2 linked regions of the Tribolium castaneum genome follow. The protein of the gene in region 1 purifies or fractionates together with the protein of each later gene. This does not show direct contact. Links are inferred from orthologs where the notes say so. Each region holds a gene or a part of one and is shown on either strand. Other genes may lie near its edges. The genes, in order: spas and Nup43.

Region 1 (8,486 bases):
CCCTAAATAAAGCATTATATTATGTCACCCTCTTGTGGCAAAAACCCACCAAAATAATCTCATTGGTGTCGTGGATCATGTCAACAATTTGGGCCGGATCCATGTTCGAATGTGACTTGTCCTCGCAATAATTCACCATCTCTTGAATGCCTCTATGCACCTGACTGACCTCCCGGAAAAACACATCCTGGTACGTTAGCCCGTTTTCCGGCTTGGTTTCCGACTCAGCCGTCGCTTTTTCGATGGCTTTTTCCAGAACTTGATTATAGGCGACAGTTTTGAGACTGATCGCGGCTATGATTTTCTCCGATATTTCGCCCATGATGTACGTTGTTGCGGTGGTGGTGTTGCGAATTGTGGATGCGGACAATTGCGCCCACAGTCCTGACTCTTTGAGGAATTTTATGAATAGTGAGAGTGCTTTTTGTTTGTTTTTTAATTGGTCGAGGACTTGCATCGAGTGTGAGCTGCCAAGCCCGACTTGATGGTCCTTTGACCATCTGGGATCACCGGCTGGGGTGTCATCGATTAAGTCCTTGCCCATCATTATTACGACTTTATCCAGTAATGAGTCGATTCCTGGGAGTTTGGACGCGTCAGGAGGGAACAACTCGTCGATGATTTCCTTGCAGGCTTGCTCCTGGTTTTGTATCCGGTAGATAAAAGCGGCCTTTAATTGACTAACTGTGTCTTTGTAAGCAATGGAAATCTCCTCAGGGTCCATGTTGTAAATGGACAGGTTATTAACCACCACGTTATCATTAAACGACGTCTCCACGAAACTGTTAGCGCCTGTGAGACTTAGGTTTAAGTCATTAGACATATCATTGCTCGCCACTGCGACTAAGCCATGATTGCGCGAGAAAAATATAGGTGTGTTGACACAGATCGCACCCGCTAATAAAAAATCTTGAGGTGTGTTGAACTCTAAAATATCAGGCTCTTCTTGGGGCTTGATAACGGTGATATGTTTCTGGTTGTATAAGTAGGCATTAATGCCGCATAAAAGAAAACGATACGATAGGGAATCCCCCGGATTGTTTTCCCGATACAAGTCCGTAATTTTCAACAAAAGAAAATCTTTAACGGCTGTTGGAGGTTGATTTGTGTTCGTCTGTAGACTTATCATCGCGTAATGTACCCGAGGAATATTAACCGCTGCTGCGAGTATTATAACATTGTCTTTATCTGACTGTATGTCAAGTAACCAGGTATCAATTTCGGTTTGGTCTCCGACACAATTCTCCCACAGGGCACCACAGAAACTATCTCTGACTATTCGGTTCAATTCGGTGACAAATATCAACTCTTCGTCGTTTTTGGACAATTGCCACTTTTGCAAATTGTGGTCGGCTAAAACGTACACCGTCCAGGTGTCGCTAGTTGTACCAGGGACGCTCAGAACGCGCACTATTCCCTGTTTGAATTTTTTTAATCACTATTGAATCAATAATTAGAGTGCGAGAACAGCCTAAGTCCAAAATGCCAATTTAAAACGAAAATTCTCATTTAGTAACCAATGTTTTTTTCAATATGTAAAAAGTTAAATAAAATGAATCCAAGGTGTAACTTGTAATGAAAGTTTTTTTAAAACAATTTAAATATATTTATTACATAAGAAAGTCTTTCGAAAATCTTCAGTATTTTGAAGATAAGGAAGGTTTCTGTAATAGTAACACATTTAAAGTTTTCTGTGAAAGTTGTTTGAAAATATATTTTTCCTATCTCTGCTTTTCTTAACTGAAACCAAACAACTTCTGGTACCACTAGTTTACAAATTTTTTTCTTTTACTAAGAGATAATTTATACTGATTTTGTGTACTGTTTCTCAATGATAACTAAGATATATGTCACATTTGTTATCACGTCTAGTTTTTTTTAATATATTCACTAGAAGTTTTGAAAATTCGTATCCGGTGTCTAGTTTGACATTCCTTGTTTCTGTAATAACTAAATAATTAAACATTTTATTTGCTTTAAAGTATAGTCAAGTGAATGTCGATTAAGCCCAAATAACATTTGATTTGTTTGTGAGAAAATTATCCTAATAAAACCTGGGAAACTTAAGCGATCAAATGGTAAACGCTTTCATCAAGATTTAAAGTCTTATGAAAAGAGGTATACCAAAGATTTACTGCTGGTTACAATAAAAGAAACTGACACTAAACAATGCAAAAAAAGAAACAATATGTCATTTTTATTTATTTTTTTAATCAGTCTTATCTTTGGTGTCTTTGGCATTCGTTATTGACGTAACTAACAAATTGATAAATATTTTATTTGCTTTAAAACATCATCAGGTGAATGTAAATTTCTATGTTTGTGTTTAATTATTATCCTAACAAAACCTGGGAAGCTTAAGCAATGAACATCGTGAACATATCCATCAAGATTTAAAGTCTTATGAAGAGACGTATTAAGGTTTTTGGGATAAAAATATGTTAATCGTTTACTACATAAGGATAAACTGACCCTGATAGTACAAAAAAAGCAGTCTGTAACATTTTAGTTGTTGCAAAAAACTTGACGTCACACATTGGCTTCATGTATTGGTAAAAAACAAAACACTGTGAACTAGTTAATTTAAATTGGCTTCCAACTGCACATTTTTTTCTTGCAACAGGAGGTGATGACACCAAAGTCCAAAGAGTCTTCAATTTCAATATACCTTAAAAAAGGTTCTAATTAATTTCTAATAAAATTTGCTGTCGTCACAGGTGAAAAAATTAAAATTATTTTCCCACATAGACACTGTGTTTTAAAAAATTTGACTTAATACTTTGTTTTAAACAAAAAGCTTGTTCAATATCACTTTTAATGATAATTAATTTTTTGGTAAAAATGCACTTAGGCTGTTTTCGCTCTCAGGCCCAGAACTACTCACACTTTCGGCCGAGGTTTCGCTCGCGATTGGCCCAAAAATCAGACTCGACATTCTCTTGCTAATGCCCCCCAACCACCCAGTTGGTATTTTAAGTGTTTTGCATTTCAAACTGTGCCTCCCGCCACTTAGCTGTGGCTGGAGCAACAAAACGGTGCACGTTGTGGTGGCCAGAATGCACCCAAGGCCCTCGACATCGGTCAAACTGTCGCATTCCTGGCCTTGTAGACTGACGTGCTGTTCCACGGAGATTCCTTCATGGACAATTGCCGGCCAGTAGCGCACCACACCTTCCGGCGAGACTGCGATACAAGAAGGTGTGTTCGAGTCTGAATTGACGAAAACCGAGACCAGTTCAGCTCTGTGCGCCAAGTCGCTTTGCGGGAGTTGCAGTTCAAAGCACTGGTTTAGTAAACTTGTCTTTTTCGAGGGGGTGTCGAGCAACACGGGGCTTTGGCGGTACTGCCAGATCAGCAAGCGGCGGCCGCAGACCACCCACAGGTAGCCCAGTTTCGAGATTCGGGCCGATACCACGGTGTTTCCTTAAAGAAAAAAATAAATTCGTGGGAAATTATAGTGGTGGCTTACTGTCGGCAAATGTGAGGGCTTCTGTTATTAGGACGGGGAAGGTTTGGCCGAAACGTTCAACGTAGTTGTAAGGTGTTGATAGTATTATTTGTACCGATTGGGTTGATTTTCCTGAGACACTGAAACGGCTAAAAGACCGGTAAGTATGAGAGTGAGGTTAGAATCGTCAACTTACGATGATTTTCGGAAATTAGGCGGAATGATTTTCTTGGCGTTGAGATTTTGCCGAGAACGGGGAGAAAACGGGCTTCTGGTGGAGAAAGATGAGTTGAAGCTTCTATCCATTCTGACTTTATTACAAATATTCAAATTTAAAAAGTAATAACAATGTTGACCACTTATGTCAGATACAGATGACATGCGCGCATTGCACATGTAGCATGTGGTTCTATGTTCATGGAATCCTATCCGGAAAGCAGCGTGATTTTTTGTTTTATCACAGGTTTTATCTATTTACGAGACTGAGAAACACCTGGTTGTTATCATATTTGGTTCCGGTGATTTTTTACTCCTCGATGTTCCGTTGTGGAACGAAGTGGCTGAATATTATGAAAAAAAAAGTTGGCAGCCCTGTAACAGCGTGAGTGTGATGGCATCCGGATGGTGCGTAAAACCCAAACGAAATCACCTGGCAAAAAATCAAGAAAAAGTGACCCCGACATTTCGAGAAGCGATGTGATGTTTACGTCGTACTCAGAGACCTCTGTCCACAAGCGAAACCTATGCATCGTTTCCTTCCCGATTATTTTTCTGTTCAACATTTTGCGCACTTTGCTCTACCAAATCTTTGTTATCCTTCGTTTCGTGTATTGTAGTTCCTCAAATTACCTAGTAAAGAAACGTCAGTTTGAATGTGGTGAGAGTGACCAACAAGTTGCGACTTGTGTCATTGAAGAGATCACCGAAATGACGCACGTCCAGAGGGTCACAGGGCCGGGGCCCGGGGACCCCCTTCTGGCCAAGCAGAAGCACCACCACCGCCGCGCCTTCGAGTACATCTCCAAGGCGCTCAAGATCGATGAAGAGAACGAAGGTCGGTGCCCGGTCTGGAGGCACGGTGAATAATTGATGGTCGTTTCTAGGTCAGAAGGACTTGGCCATCGAGTTGTATAGGAAAGGCATCACGGAGCTGGAACTGGGGATCGCGGTGCAGTGCTGGGGCGGCCGGGGCGAGGTGTGGGAGCGGGCCCAGCGCCTCCACGAAAAAATGAAAACCAATCTTGCCATGGCCAAGGACAGGCTGCAGTTTTTGGGTAATTTGGACTGGATTGATTTGCTCATTTTGGTTTGGTATTTACGTCTTTGTTGTTGTTTCTGTTTATAGAAAGCATGGATATGTTACATCGACAGGATGTTCAAAAAGAACCAAAAGAGGCTCCTAAACTTAGCTACACTACCAATATTCCTACTCCCAAACTTTGTTTTAACAAAGGTATTCTTCTTATTTTCAGTATTTCAGCTTCCATTGGTGTAACTCGTAGTACATCGGCTTCTAATAGTAGAACGCGTTGCTCGATTTCTTACCATAATCCCTAGTAATTAACTCATAGATTATGTAATCCCAGCAATCATTATCGACACAGTATTTTGAGCAGTAACAGCCTCAAGCCTCAATTAACAACTAGATTATGAGTTTATCGCTTTTATGATTCAGACAGTGGCGAATCTAACCTTGATTCTTCAAAAACCTTTGTCTCTTGTTTGCAAATTGGTAAAGTAAATAGCAAATTTTAAAACATCTCATTCGCCAGTGGGTACAGAAGTCTTATCCTGAATCACATACAAATTTGGATAGTGCATACCTAAGTGTATATTTGCTGCAATTACCAAAATTTTTTATACTATAACAGTCTAAATAATGATAAAATTATTTTATTATCTTAGATGCAGTTTTATTATGTTTATAAAAGTGAAATTATATTGAACTAAAATGTGATTATTATAATTACAATAGGTATGTATTTTTTCGTAACTTGAGACCATACGATTCTTTTTTGACTTTTTTTGAGTACATAGTTCAAAATAAGAGAATTGTTTATGCAAAGTCCTACAGACAAGTAAACCAGCTAGTGATCAAGAACCCACTCCAAGTCTCAACTTTGTTTAATTTATTCAACAGTAATAAAATTTAATAAAATTGCATTCACGTAGAGAAGCATACTTTTAACGATATGTTAAGACAGAAGGGTTCAAAGTAGAGCAAAGTAAATGAAAACCTTGTAAATATCTTCTTTTTTAAAAACGCTGCGAAAACGGTACACCTCATAAAAATATCTATATAAAAAAACAAATATAGAGAACTAAATTTTCAAGTCAACGACAGAATAACACTACTGTCTTTAACGGTTCAGGCTCTAAAAGACGTTCAAGAATTTTTGAAAAACATCTTAAATTTGTACACCGTCACCGTCGTTTTTGTAGCAAATTTAATTTAATTTAATTAATTAATTAATATAGTACAATTTTTATATTAATTTGTTCTGTGTCATGGTGCTCAATATGTTAATTATTTATAGGACCATTATTTCTGTTTAGTTTAAATGTTGATGATAATCCGCATTTTCGGCCTCTATGCTTCCTCTCTCTAGGTTTGTATTGTTTTAAAGTTGAAGAAAATGTTTCCTTTTATATTTAATAAGGGTTTATATTCGCCACTGTGTAAAAACTGCGTAACCTGATTCCGATTCTTTGATTGAAAGAAATTTATATTTTAATTTTAATTATTATTATTTTTAAAAACAATGAGTTCTACTTTTTCATCACCCCTGTGTATATTTTTGTTTGTGAGCCACCAACTGCGTGTCACTATTTCTCTTTGTTCCTAGCTTCCGGCAAGAAACTCTCCGTGGCCAGTAAGCGCCCCCCGAACGCGACCCTGGCCAAAAGCCAAACCTTGCCCCGTTCGATGGGTTCCCGGACAGCCCCTATTCAGCCCGTCCGCCCTTTTAACAAGCTCTCGTCGACTCCTCCTGCCGTCAAAAAGCAACTCTCGGTGCCGGGCACCGCCGGTTCTCCCGCTCGCAAAACAACAGCCTCACGTAATAAACCCGATCGAAAGTCCGATAACTATTGACTCGTTCCTCCAACAGTAGCAACTCCGAGTAAATCGACGTCACGGGGCGGCAAATCACCCAATTTACGAGGCGTCGACACAAAACTAGCTCAATGCATCCTTGACGAGATCGTCGAAGGCGGCCTCCAGGTGCAATGGGAGGACATCATCGGTCAAGACGCCGCCAAACAAGCGCTGCAAGAAATGGTGATCTTGCCGTCGCTGCGGCCTGAACTGTTCACGGGGCTGCGCACCCCCGCGCGGGGGCTGCTCCTGTTCGGGCCCCCAGGCAACGGGAAGACGTTGCTAGCGAGGGCTGTGGCCACCGAATGTCGGGCGACGTTTTTCTCAATCAGTGCCGCCAGTCTCACTTCGAAGTACGTGGGCGAAGGGGAGAAAATGGTGCGGGCTTTGTTCGCAATCGCCCGGGAGTTGCAACCGTCGATTATTTTCATCGACGAAGTCGATTCGCTCCTCTCCGAACGCTCCAACAACGAGCATGAGGCTAGCCGCAGGTTGAAGACCGAATTTCTGGTCGAGTTCGACGGACTGCCGAGTAACCCCGACAGCGAGCGGGTGAGACAGTGTTTCATTGTGTTATTTTTTTATCGATGGTTTGAAGGTCGTGGTGATGGCGGCGACCAACCGCCCCCAGGAACTGGACGAAGCCGCTCTCCGAAGGTTCCCGAAGCGCGTCTACGTCACGCTCCCCGATCTCGAAACGCGAATTCGATTGTTTAAGATGTTGTTGGCAAAACAGGGTTGTTCACTTACGCAACAGGAACTGAAACGACTGGCCACTCTTACTGAAGGATACTCGGCTAGTGATTTAACAGCTCTGGCCAAGGATGCCGCGCTGGGACCAATCAGGGAGCTGCAGCCGGAGCAAGTGAAGGAGATGGATCCCAGTGCGCTGAGGAGCATCACTATAAATGATTTTCTGGATTCGCTGAAACGGATCAGGAGGAGTGTGTCGCCGCAGAGCTTGGTGGCGTACGAGAAGTGGTCGTTGCAGTACGGAGATATGTCTATTTAATCATTCCGCTTTTACTTTGGTGACTTTCGTTTTAATCTGTGATATTATGGTGTTTTTGATTGAAAATTCGCTGCCTGTTGATTTTGTTGACTTGTTTTAGTACAAAAGGGAGGGAGTTTCTCTTTTTATTTGAGCCGAAATGACGTATTAAAATATTGAAGTAATGTAGTTAGACTAGGAGTGTTTTTAGAGTTTGTGTTTACTAGCACGTTTTTTATTACTTGATTTAACATTGTTTTGTGGTTGTTCACTTGGACCGTAACAAAAGTGTCTCAATTCAGACGTTGCTTTTTCCATGACGTTTGTAATCTTATTGGTATAATAAAAGTAAATTGAAAGAAGATTTGCGTTTGGCAAAAATGAACATTTGAGTGAATTAAAGAAATGTAATTTATATCAATATCATTGACAAAGCAAAGCTGTACAATAAAAAAATACTGTCTAAGACATAATATCAACTCCATATCCGTATGTACACTTTCCTTCCATCATGAAACATAAAAAATATATCCTTACAGCTAATTATTGAATGTATTTCGAGTTACAACACTAGACTTACACTTTCTTTTATCAGTTAACTAACAATATGCTCATTCGTTTTTGTTTAATAACACATTCAAAGCAAGTGCCACACATTTAATTTCTAAATACGTAAATAATGTCTGTACACTCTTTTTCAACTAACCCCCGATTGTTCGATTATAAAAAGAATAAATAAACAGAGAGAAAAGTGTTAAAAAAGAAACAGCGTTTGGTAAGAACGACCAACTCGATATCGTTATAAACATCTTAAATATATTATTTTATAAAAGGCCACATGCTAATTTAGTAACGGCTAACAACACATAAATCCTTTCATGCAGTCATTTACAACTATGGATCTAGATAGAATATTTGCATAGAAATAATAACCTTAGCGCGAAAAAATT
Region 2 (8,318 bases), on another chromosome or scaffold:
TGTCGTGGGTTATAGTGATCTAGCAAATGCACAGTTGGTATTGTTTGGTTACAAACGACTTGAACTCGATGCACAATGGAAGGGAAATGCGCGTTTTACAGCCGTGGAAAGCGGTTCATTGCGGGCTCGGAGGAAAATTCGGCCACTTTTCAGCACTAAAGCCGGCTTTCGGCAACTCGCTACACTTCTTCGCTCTTATTTACATAACCTAGAATAAAACCCTTTCTGTTAGCTCTACACATGTTTGGAGCGACTGACTTGGAAAACATCGTCGTAGCAAGGGGTTTTACTCACCGTCTAGCTTAATTTTCATTGGAAAAGCTCATTATTGATGAAAAATCAGCATTATCGATAGTAGAGAATGCATCACATTCACAACACTTCCACTGTATTTATAATATTTGCCGTTGGGGGCGCTGATGTTAATGTAACTTGACTGGAGTTCAGCGTTTGGTGTAGGGGAGAGGAAGGAAAAGTGGGTCACATGGTTTTTTCTTGAAACTTTACGTCACGGCTTCACATCGTGTCTGACGTAGGTATCACGTGACACAACCTTTGAAAAAGTCCCCAGTTGTTACTGCATATACTTGATTTTAATAATATTTATTTAGTTATAAATTGCATATGCCTTAGAATTAAAATTAAAAGAAAATTTAAGAATTCTGTGTTATAATTTATAATGATCCGAGGGATAAACAGCAGATCTAAACTTAAACACCATACTTCCTGTACCTTGTGCAAACGCCTTAGCTTTTATACCTCTGCTGTTAGCTACCCTTATTTCAAAATTTTAAATGAAATCCCCTACGTTTTGTAACAGTTTTGAAAACTTGCAAAAAACCTTATCAAACCGTGAAAAAAGATTATCGATTCGTTTATATATTGGGGGATGTTTTATTTTTGCAATTTTGAACTCTAATAGTAGTACTACATATCTGATTTAGAGTCAATTTAATTTAAACAAAAAACTAGTGGGTTACTGTGAAGGGAAATTTCAAAACAAACTCCAAGTACCTACTCGTCAAAAACTACCCTTAATCGATATGCTCCTTTGTTAAATTAAATTGGTTTAAGAATTAAACGTTTTAGGTTTAGGTTTTTAAAATAAAACCACTCCTAACTCAAAAACGAAATATAAATCTTCAGTTTGTTTTATTTACACAAGAGCATTAGAAATCAGGTGACATGCGTCTTAACTTTTGGGCTTGCGCAGTGGTGTAAATTTATAGATAAAGGTAAACTCCCAGTACATCCCCGAAATCCCTGTAAATCCTTAAACTTGCACACCATACATCCACAGCTGTTTACAGGTCGTAATGGTTATAAAATAATATAATCAATTTTTATGTAATGTAGAGTCACAAAATATGTATTATTACAAAAAATCATCGATAAACACTTTCTCATGTTTTTTAACAGTAGGTATAGAGAGAATTATTATTGTAAAAATAGTAAGTCCTGTTAGCCTTTTTCAATATTATGTTTTCGCCTAAGATTCCGCATCCAATACCCTTTATGCTTCGTCCTAAACTGACAAACATTATTTTCTTCCAAGCGAAATTGTGGAGATATACTAAAGTAATATTTCATGACAACAATGCAATGGGGCCAGAAAATGATTAGTCTGCAGTAAAAAAGATGTTTATTGCTCACTTCGTCTCACTTTTCAGAACAGATGTTACCATGAGCAGACATGGGGCCTAAGCTGAAGCAAGCCCAAAGAAACCCTAACTTGCGAATCATTTTCTGTCGTCAACTGCACTGTTATAAAATATTACTTTAGTCAATCTTAACTACTCTGCTTGGAAGATAATACAAAATAACTATTTAATATTATTATTGGTTTTAAAATGAGATTTGTGACATACAATAAGGGCCTTACGTTTCACCAAATTATTCTATAAAGTTAAGTGAAACATTTAAACCTGTTCTGATATGTAATGTTCTAAAAACATGTTTTTAAACAGCGTCTTGAAAATAGTCTGTGCAACAGACATTTAATGAGGTTGAAAGTATATGGTGGTGCAGTGTGTGATCTTTTAAATCGCCGGCTTTATTTTTTGCATCATATGAACATTCGCGACATTTAAATATATATTGTTTACAGTACTGAAATAACCATGTCTGTTACTAATAGCAAGTTTTAGAAACACTAATACAAAAAACGTCTCTAAATTGCAACTAACGCAAGCTGTGAATGGAATCACACATTTGATTCAAAGGCACATGTTTAATGTGTGTATAGTGTATCTTATTCAATGGTGTCCCTTTAAATGTAGAAACTGGTTCGTCTCAAAGGAATAATCACGACATTTGTGCTCCTCAAGGGGCTGCTACAACACTAAACTGGCTTAGTGTCTTCCTCAGGCAACAGCTGTTTAATCATTTTCGTCTTCGATTTTTTTATCAATCTGAAAAATTTCTAGGTTAAAAAAGTTGTAAATTGTTTTAGTTTTACTGACCTGTTCCATTTCTTGGCTTTGGGAGAGCTTATCACATACTTTATTTTGTATTTATTACTAAATTCGTCTAATTGCCTTTCATGTAGGGGGGCTTTATAAAGGCCAGTTCTGTTGTTGAAATTTCATGACTGACATCTAGTGGAAAACATTACTGTCAGTGAACAGGTTGCCATGAACGTACACCTACTTCCGTTTCTATAAAATAAACCCCCCACATAAAAAAATCTGTTTTAAATAGTTATTTTATTTTTAAACATAAACTTATTACAGTTCAGCCGTAACAATATTTTCTAAACATTAATCATGTATTCTTATAACGTACTTCTGGCTTAAAAAAATGTAGAGTCGTTAAGCAATTTGTCTTATAGATTTGATACGGAGTATACTCCACCGCACGTATAGTGGGTTGCCTGACAATTATTCAATTATGCTTTCAACGACACAGTGAGGTTATAGCGCCACTTTTTTAATTTTTATGGGCTTAATTATACACAAAATATGGCCCACAACATTCATGGAACATTTGTTTCTGAAAAAGTTAATAAAATCCGTTGGAGGCCCGATTTTATGAATGCCTCGCATTATTTTGTAACCGGCAGTTGGGACAATGACCAAAACAGCATCAAACTTTGGGATTTCCAAGAAAATGAAGAAGATGCCGAAGTTTATCCATTTCTGGTGGCTGAATTTCCACACAACGGGGACATAACTGAAGTTAAAGTATGTATATTACAATCAGTATTGCGATACGAGCCACGTAGCGAGTGAAACAATTTTTGTCATTTTTTAGTTCTTAAACGGCGATTTTTTCGTTGCTTCTTCGTCGTCGGGCTGCGTCAGTCTGCTGAAGATTACTTCCGAACATGGAATTGATCCCTTAATTGAGAGAAAAATTTACTGGGAGGGAGTTCACAAATTTCCCAATGGGGAGAATTGCCCTTGCACTGCCTTTTGCACCTACGACAACGATATTGTGAGCGTTGGCGAAGACGGTTCTATCAATTTGTTAAATGCCCAAAACCAAAACGTTATCCGCACAATTGAAAACGCCGATAGTTGCTCAATTCGTTGTGTGGCTTTTCTGAAGCATAGCGAAATTTTGACCGGTAATTTTCGTGGACAATTGAAGATTTTCGATATTCGGGCCCCTAAAAGCCAACCCGCGACCACTTTCATGTTGAGTGGGGATCAAATCTCGCCATTGTGTCTCCAAAACCACCCTACACAGAGGCATTTGGTGGTAGCTGGCGATGAAGAAGGTACCTATTTTTTTTTTATTTATGTTGGCAAACGCCAAAAATGGTGCCAACTTAAAGGTATTGGCAACTTTCTTTTAAATGATACCAAAATAGTTATTTACATTATACGTGCGGTAGGTATAATTTTACAGCGTGAAGTTTTAATAAAATTGAACGCTGTAAAATGAGTCGTCTAGTTCCAAAACCTGCCGTCTCTATTCAGTATTTTTGTTTAATGTTTAATACAAATGCTGTTGAACAAATAAATTTTAAATTACACTGATATAAAACCTCTTAGAGAGTAGAATTCGATGACCTATACTTTAATTACAATGTTTGAATTTAAAGCCTGCATTTTTTTTAAGGTTGGAGGTGGCAAGTTTTGGAACAAGTTGGAGAGGAGATGGGCGGTTATGGAACAAAATGTCTTTTAAAAATCCTTTTTTTAAGACTAGATAGTGAAATGGAATAAAAAAACTCAAACTACGTATTTGCTGAAATAACATGTGGCTAAAGTTTTAAGTCTTTTAAGGCAAACACATAACTCCAAAAAACAACGCGGAGATAGTTGATTTTGGAACGCATATATAAGATTACTTTACGTAAAGAAATGACATTGATATTTCAAACTTTAATGCAGTTGATGTTAATAACTATTTTTTGTTAGTATTTAGTCCGCCAGATAATTGTGCTAAATCCACATTATCATTAGTACGCAAAAAAATCAACGATAATGGTTCCTTTCGTCTTCAGCTTGCTGCTGTTGATGAAGTTTATGAAATAGTTATAGTGTTGACGAAAATATTTTTATTTTTGATGTTGTGTATAGTTCTGCGTAACTGGCTATGTCTATACCATAAACCAATGAAAACTTCCACAAAACCGCATCAATTATTTTGGGCATCTTCTTAGTACCTGCAAGAGGCTCATTATCTTTTAGGATTCCTTCTTGTAAACAACAATGATCAAAATAATAACTGCAATTGTGGGGTAAGTTTTTGTTGGTTTGCGGTTGACATAGCAAGTAATGTGAGAACTATAAGTATATACCCTATATATACTCAAAATTGACGCCCATGCTTTTAGGATTTGCTTCAGAAGACTAAAACAAATCGAAAGTTAAGAGTGAAAAATTGTCCAATTGTCCTTCGTTATCGAGTTATTGATAAGTATCTAAAATTTAAAATTTGTACATTAAATTTTATTAAAAGCGAATTTACCAAATTTGTTGTCACAAAGTATGCTATAATGCGATTTGGAAACTTTTCCGTGTAGGCCCTAGTCTCAGCAGTGGCATTGCCATCATACAAACATCTTACTTATAACCGAGCTTTTAACATATCGTCAAAATTTCGAATACACTAATAAAGTGGTATCTTATCATTTAACACATACAAAAACGAAGGAAATTAATAATACTCTTTACTAGACACAGTTATTCAAAGAATTTTAATATCGCTAACATCAACTAATCAATTATGTTGCACAAATAATTGGAAAGACAGCTAAAGCTTATTATTTACATTTTTATCAATAACTCTAAAACGAACAATTGGAAAATTTTTTACTCTTAACTTTCGATTTGTATTAATACCCTAAATCAAACTGCCATAGCACAGGCGTCAATTTTGAGACTTTTACTTGTTAGAACGTAATCTATTCAACATTTTTCAAACGAGCGTAAATGGTTGGCTTGGTTAAACGAAACTGATCGAAGAAATTTACATCACTAACAATTTCAAAATAATTTTTCTTTTTCTATAAATTTTTTGTCTTCGCAGTTCGGAAGAAGATAATGAATTAGAAGAAAAAATGAACACTTTCTTAATTTTGTGCAATTCAAAAAACTGACAAATTTAACGTTTGTTAAAGTTGCTTTTGTAATTTGCCGCCGTCTTTACGTCTTTACCTAATCATTATTTGACGAAATATTTTACGAAAATTTTTAGGTTGAAACGCATTTTAAAAATTGAAGTCACTTTTAAAAGTTTAAGTTACTTTAAAATGATTTATGAAACGATCCTACTTCAAGTTATTTCGATATAAATTTGGGATTATGACGTCATAACCGTCTCTCGAGCATTATTTGGTCCAATTTTAAGATCAAATAGTTTTTGATCACTGCCAAAGAATATCGAAATGAAGACACAATTTCTGAGATATTTTCGCAAAGTGCAAGACAAAATTTAGAACAGGTAGGAGTTTGGAAAGTAGTTATTTTTTTGATTTTGTAGAAGATATGTGAAAAATATGTGATTAATAAAAGGTTTCTGTGATGAGAGGCGGTTGTGACGTTAAGGCTTCACTTATTTTTTGCTGCAGAAAATTTTGAAAAAAGTCTCTATAGTTCCAATTTCCGTTAAAAGATAAATTAGGTAAAATACAATGTGTTCAAAAATGGTGGTTCATCAAGTTAACTATTTTAAATTTAAATTAAGCGGCACATTACGTTCAAATTTCATATGTGACTTGATGAACGAAGTTTTTTGAGCACATTTTATAAGTTGCCACTGCCTTCAATTTTAGTCATAGACCACTCTGATCAGAATTCGAAATATGTTATTTACTCCGTTTCAGGTTCGATAACGATATGGGATTTGCGCCAAAACACATATCCTGTGAATGTGTTGGATGCTCATGAGGGAGGCGTTATGGAAATACACTTCCATCCAGATCATCCTGACCAGCTATTCACTTGTTCCACTGATGGGGATGTTTGGCATTGGTCGCCTAAATGTGGCAGTGCCTCTAGTTTGCTGAATGGGGAGAATGTTTGGTTGGCATCCGAGGCTATCAAAAATAAGTTGGATGTTTTTACGCTCATGCCTAAATTGCACAAACCAATCAATAGTCTGGATGTTAACAGAAATAAGGTTCTTTGTGGGTGCGATAACGAGGCGGTTTATTTAATCAATGGAGTTAATGTTTTTAAGTAATTGTTTTGTACAAAGTTTCTAATAAAAAGTTGAACCACTATTTGGTTGTTGGCATATACGTGATAGCTGGAGGTCGTTATAATGGGTTCGTTATAACCAGACTCTACTGTATTATATCTTTGTTGATCATATCATCAGCATTTTACTAAGGTGTTTTAGGTTAAAACTTAGAAATAAGAGCAATATATACTACCACTTGTTAAAAAACACCACAATTTCACATTTTGTATATTTTTAATTTCGCATTTGTTGGAATTCGCTTTTGACCGACAATAATAACTAACCTCATCTACTTAACCTAACATTTCTCAACGTTATATTTTCGTTCAAAGCGCCGCAATGCCTGTCTCTAGCGATGTTGTTCGTAAAGAAACCCCCATGGAAATTATATTTGTACGTATCCCGTTTCAAAATTAGTCCAAAATAACTGCGAAAATTCCAGACAGACGAAGACCTCCCTTACGAAGAAGAGATCCTCCGCAACCCCTACTCTGTGAAGCACTGGCTGCGCTACATTGAGCACAAGAAGAAGGCCCCGAAGCACGGCGTTAACATAATTTACGAGCGGGCCCTTAAAGAGCTCCCCGGCTCTTACAAACTTTGGTACAACTACTTACGCACTCGCCGCCTCCAGGTGAAAAACCGCTGCATCACAGACCCCGCATTCGAGGAAGTCAACAACGCTTTTGAGCGCTCCCTTGTTTTCATGCACAAAATGCCGCGAATTTGGATGGATTATTGCAGTTTCCTGACCGATCAGTGCAAGATAACGCGGACTCGGAAGGTTTTCGACCGGGCTTTGAGGGCGCTCCCGGTGACCCAACACCACCGGATTTGGCCCCTTTACCTCACATTCGTCAAAAAGCACGACATTTCCGAGACCGCTGTGCGCATTTTTCGCCGGTATTTGAAGCTCAGTCCGGAGAATGCGGAGGAATACGTTGAGTATTTGACCGAAGTTGGGCGTTTGGACGAAGCCGCCGTTGTGTTGGCTAAGATTGTCAATGATGAGAATTTCGTGTCACAGCACGGGAAGTCCAAACACCAGCTCTGGAACGAGTTGTGCGAGTTGATTTCGAAAAATCCCGAAGAGGTGCATTCGTTGAATGTTGATGCGATTATCAGGGGCGGCTTGAGGCGGTACACTGATCAGTTGGGGCATTTGTGGAACTCTCTGGCTACGTATTATGTCAGGAGCGGGTTGTTTGAACGGGCGCGGGATATTTACGAGGAGGCGATTCAGACGGTTACAACTGTGCGGGATTTTACGCAAGTCTTTGACGCCTATGCACAGTTTGAGGAGTTGACGTTGAGTAAACGGATGGAGGAGGTGGCGCAAAAGCCCAATCAGACTGAAGATGATGATATTGAGTTGGAGTTGAGGCTGGCGAGGTTTGAGAATTTGATGGAGAGGAGGCTGTTGCTGTTGAATTCGGTTCTCTTGAGGCAGAATCCGCATAATGTGCAGGAGTGGCACAAGCGAGTGCAGCTGTATGAAGGTACGTTTGTAAATTAATATCATACAATTTTACTCGTATTTATTACTAAAATATCGGAAATTTTACCTTGTAAAAGTTGTACGATTTATGGTCACTTGTCTTTGAAAGTAATAGAAATTTAATTGTATTTTTCTCAATTTTTATGAATCGAAGATCGTCGATGTCACATGCAATTGTAAGCAG

What was found.
Region 2: the proteins of spas (region 1) and Nup43 purify together in Homo sapiens (affinity purification with mass spectrometry; 3 studies listed by BioGRID and IntAct, counting the BioPlex papers as one, with this or other methods). This does not show direct contact. The link is inferred for Tribolium castaneum from reciprocal best matches to the Homo sapiens genes SPAST and NUP43.

The regions. Positions count from the first base shown.
Region 1 is NC_087396.1:14,344,539-14,353,024, forward strand, and holds spas (spastin), read left to right. Parts: upstream 1-4,069; coding exon 4,070-4,502; intron 4,503-4,551; coding exon 4,552-4,722; intron 4,723-4,793; coding exon 4,794-4,901; intron 4,902-6,294; coding exon 6,295-6,507; intron 6,508-6,558; coding exon 6,559-7,097; intron 7,098-7,143; coding exon 7,144-7,557; 3' UTR 7,558-7,898; downstream 7,899-8,486. Other genes in the region: nuclear pore complex protein Nup133, read right to left, coding at 1-2, 50-1,417, 2,885-3,423, 3,470-3,597, 3,645-3,844. UniProt on the Homo sapiens protein: ATP-dependent microtubule severing protein that specifically recognizes and cuts microtubules that are polyglutamylated.
Region 2 is NC_087398.1:14,039,019-14,047,336, reverse strand, and holds Nup43 (nucleoporin Nup43), read left to right. Parts: upstream 1-2,858; 5' UTR 2,859-2,960; coding exon 2,961-3,182; intron 3,183-3,252; coding exon 3,253-3,721; intron 3,722-6,277; coding exon 6,278-6,636; 3' UTR 6,637-6,676; downstream 6,677-8,318. Other genes in the region: fand (pre-mRNA-splicing factor syf1 homolog), read left to right, coding at 6,976-7,029, 7,079-8,135. UniProt on the Homo sapiens protein: Component of the Nup107-160 subcomplex of the nuclear pore complex (NPC). The Nup107-160 subcomplex is required for the assembly of a functional NPC.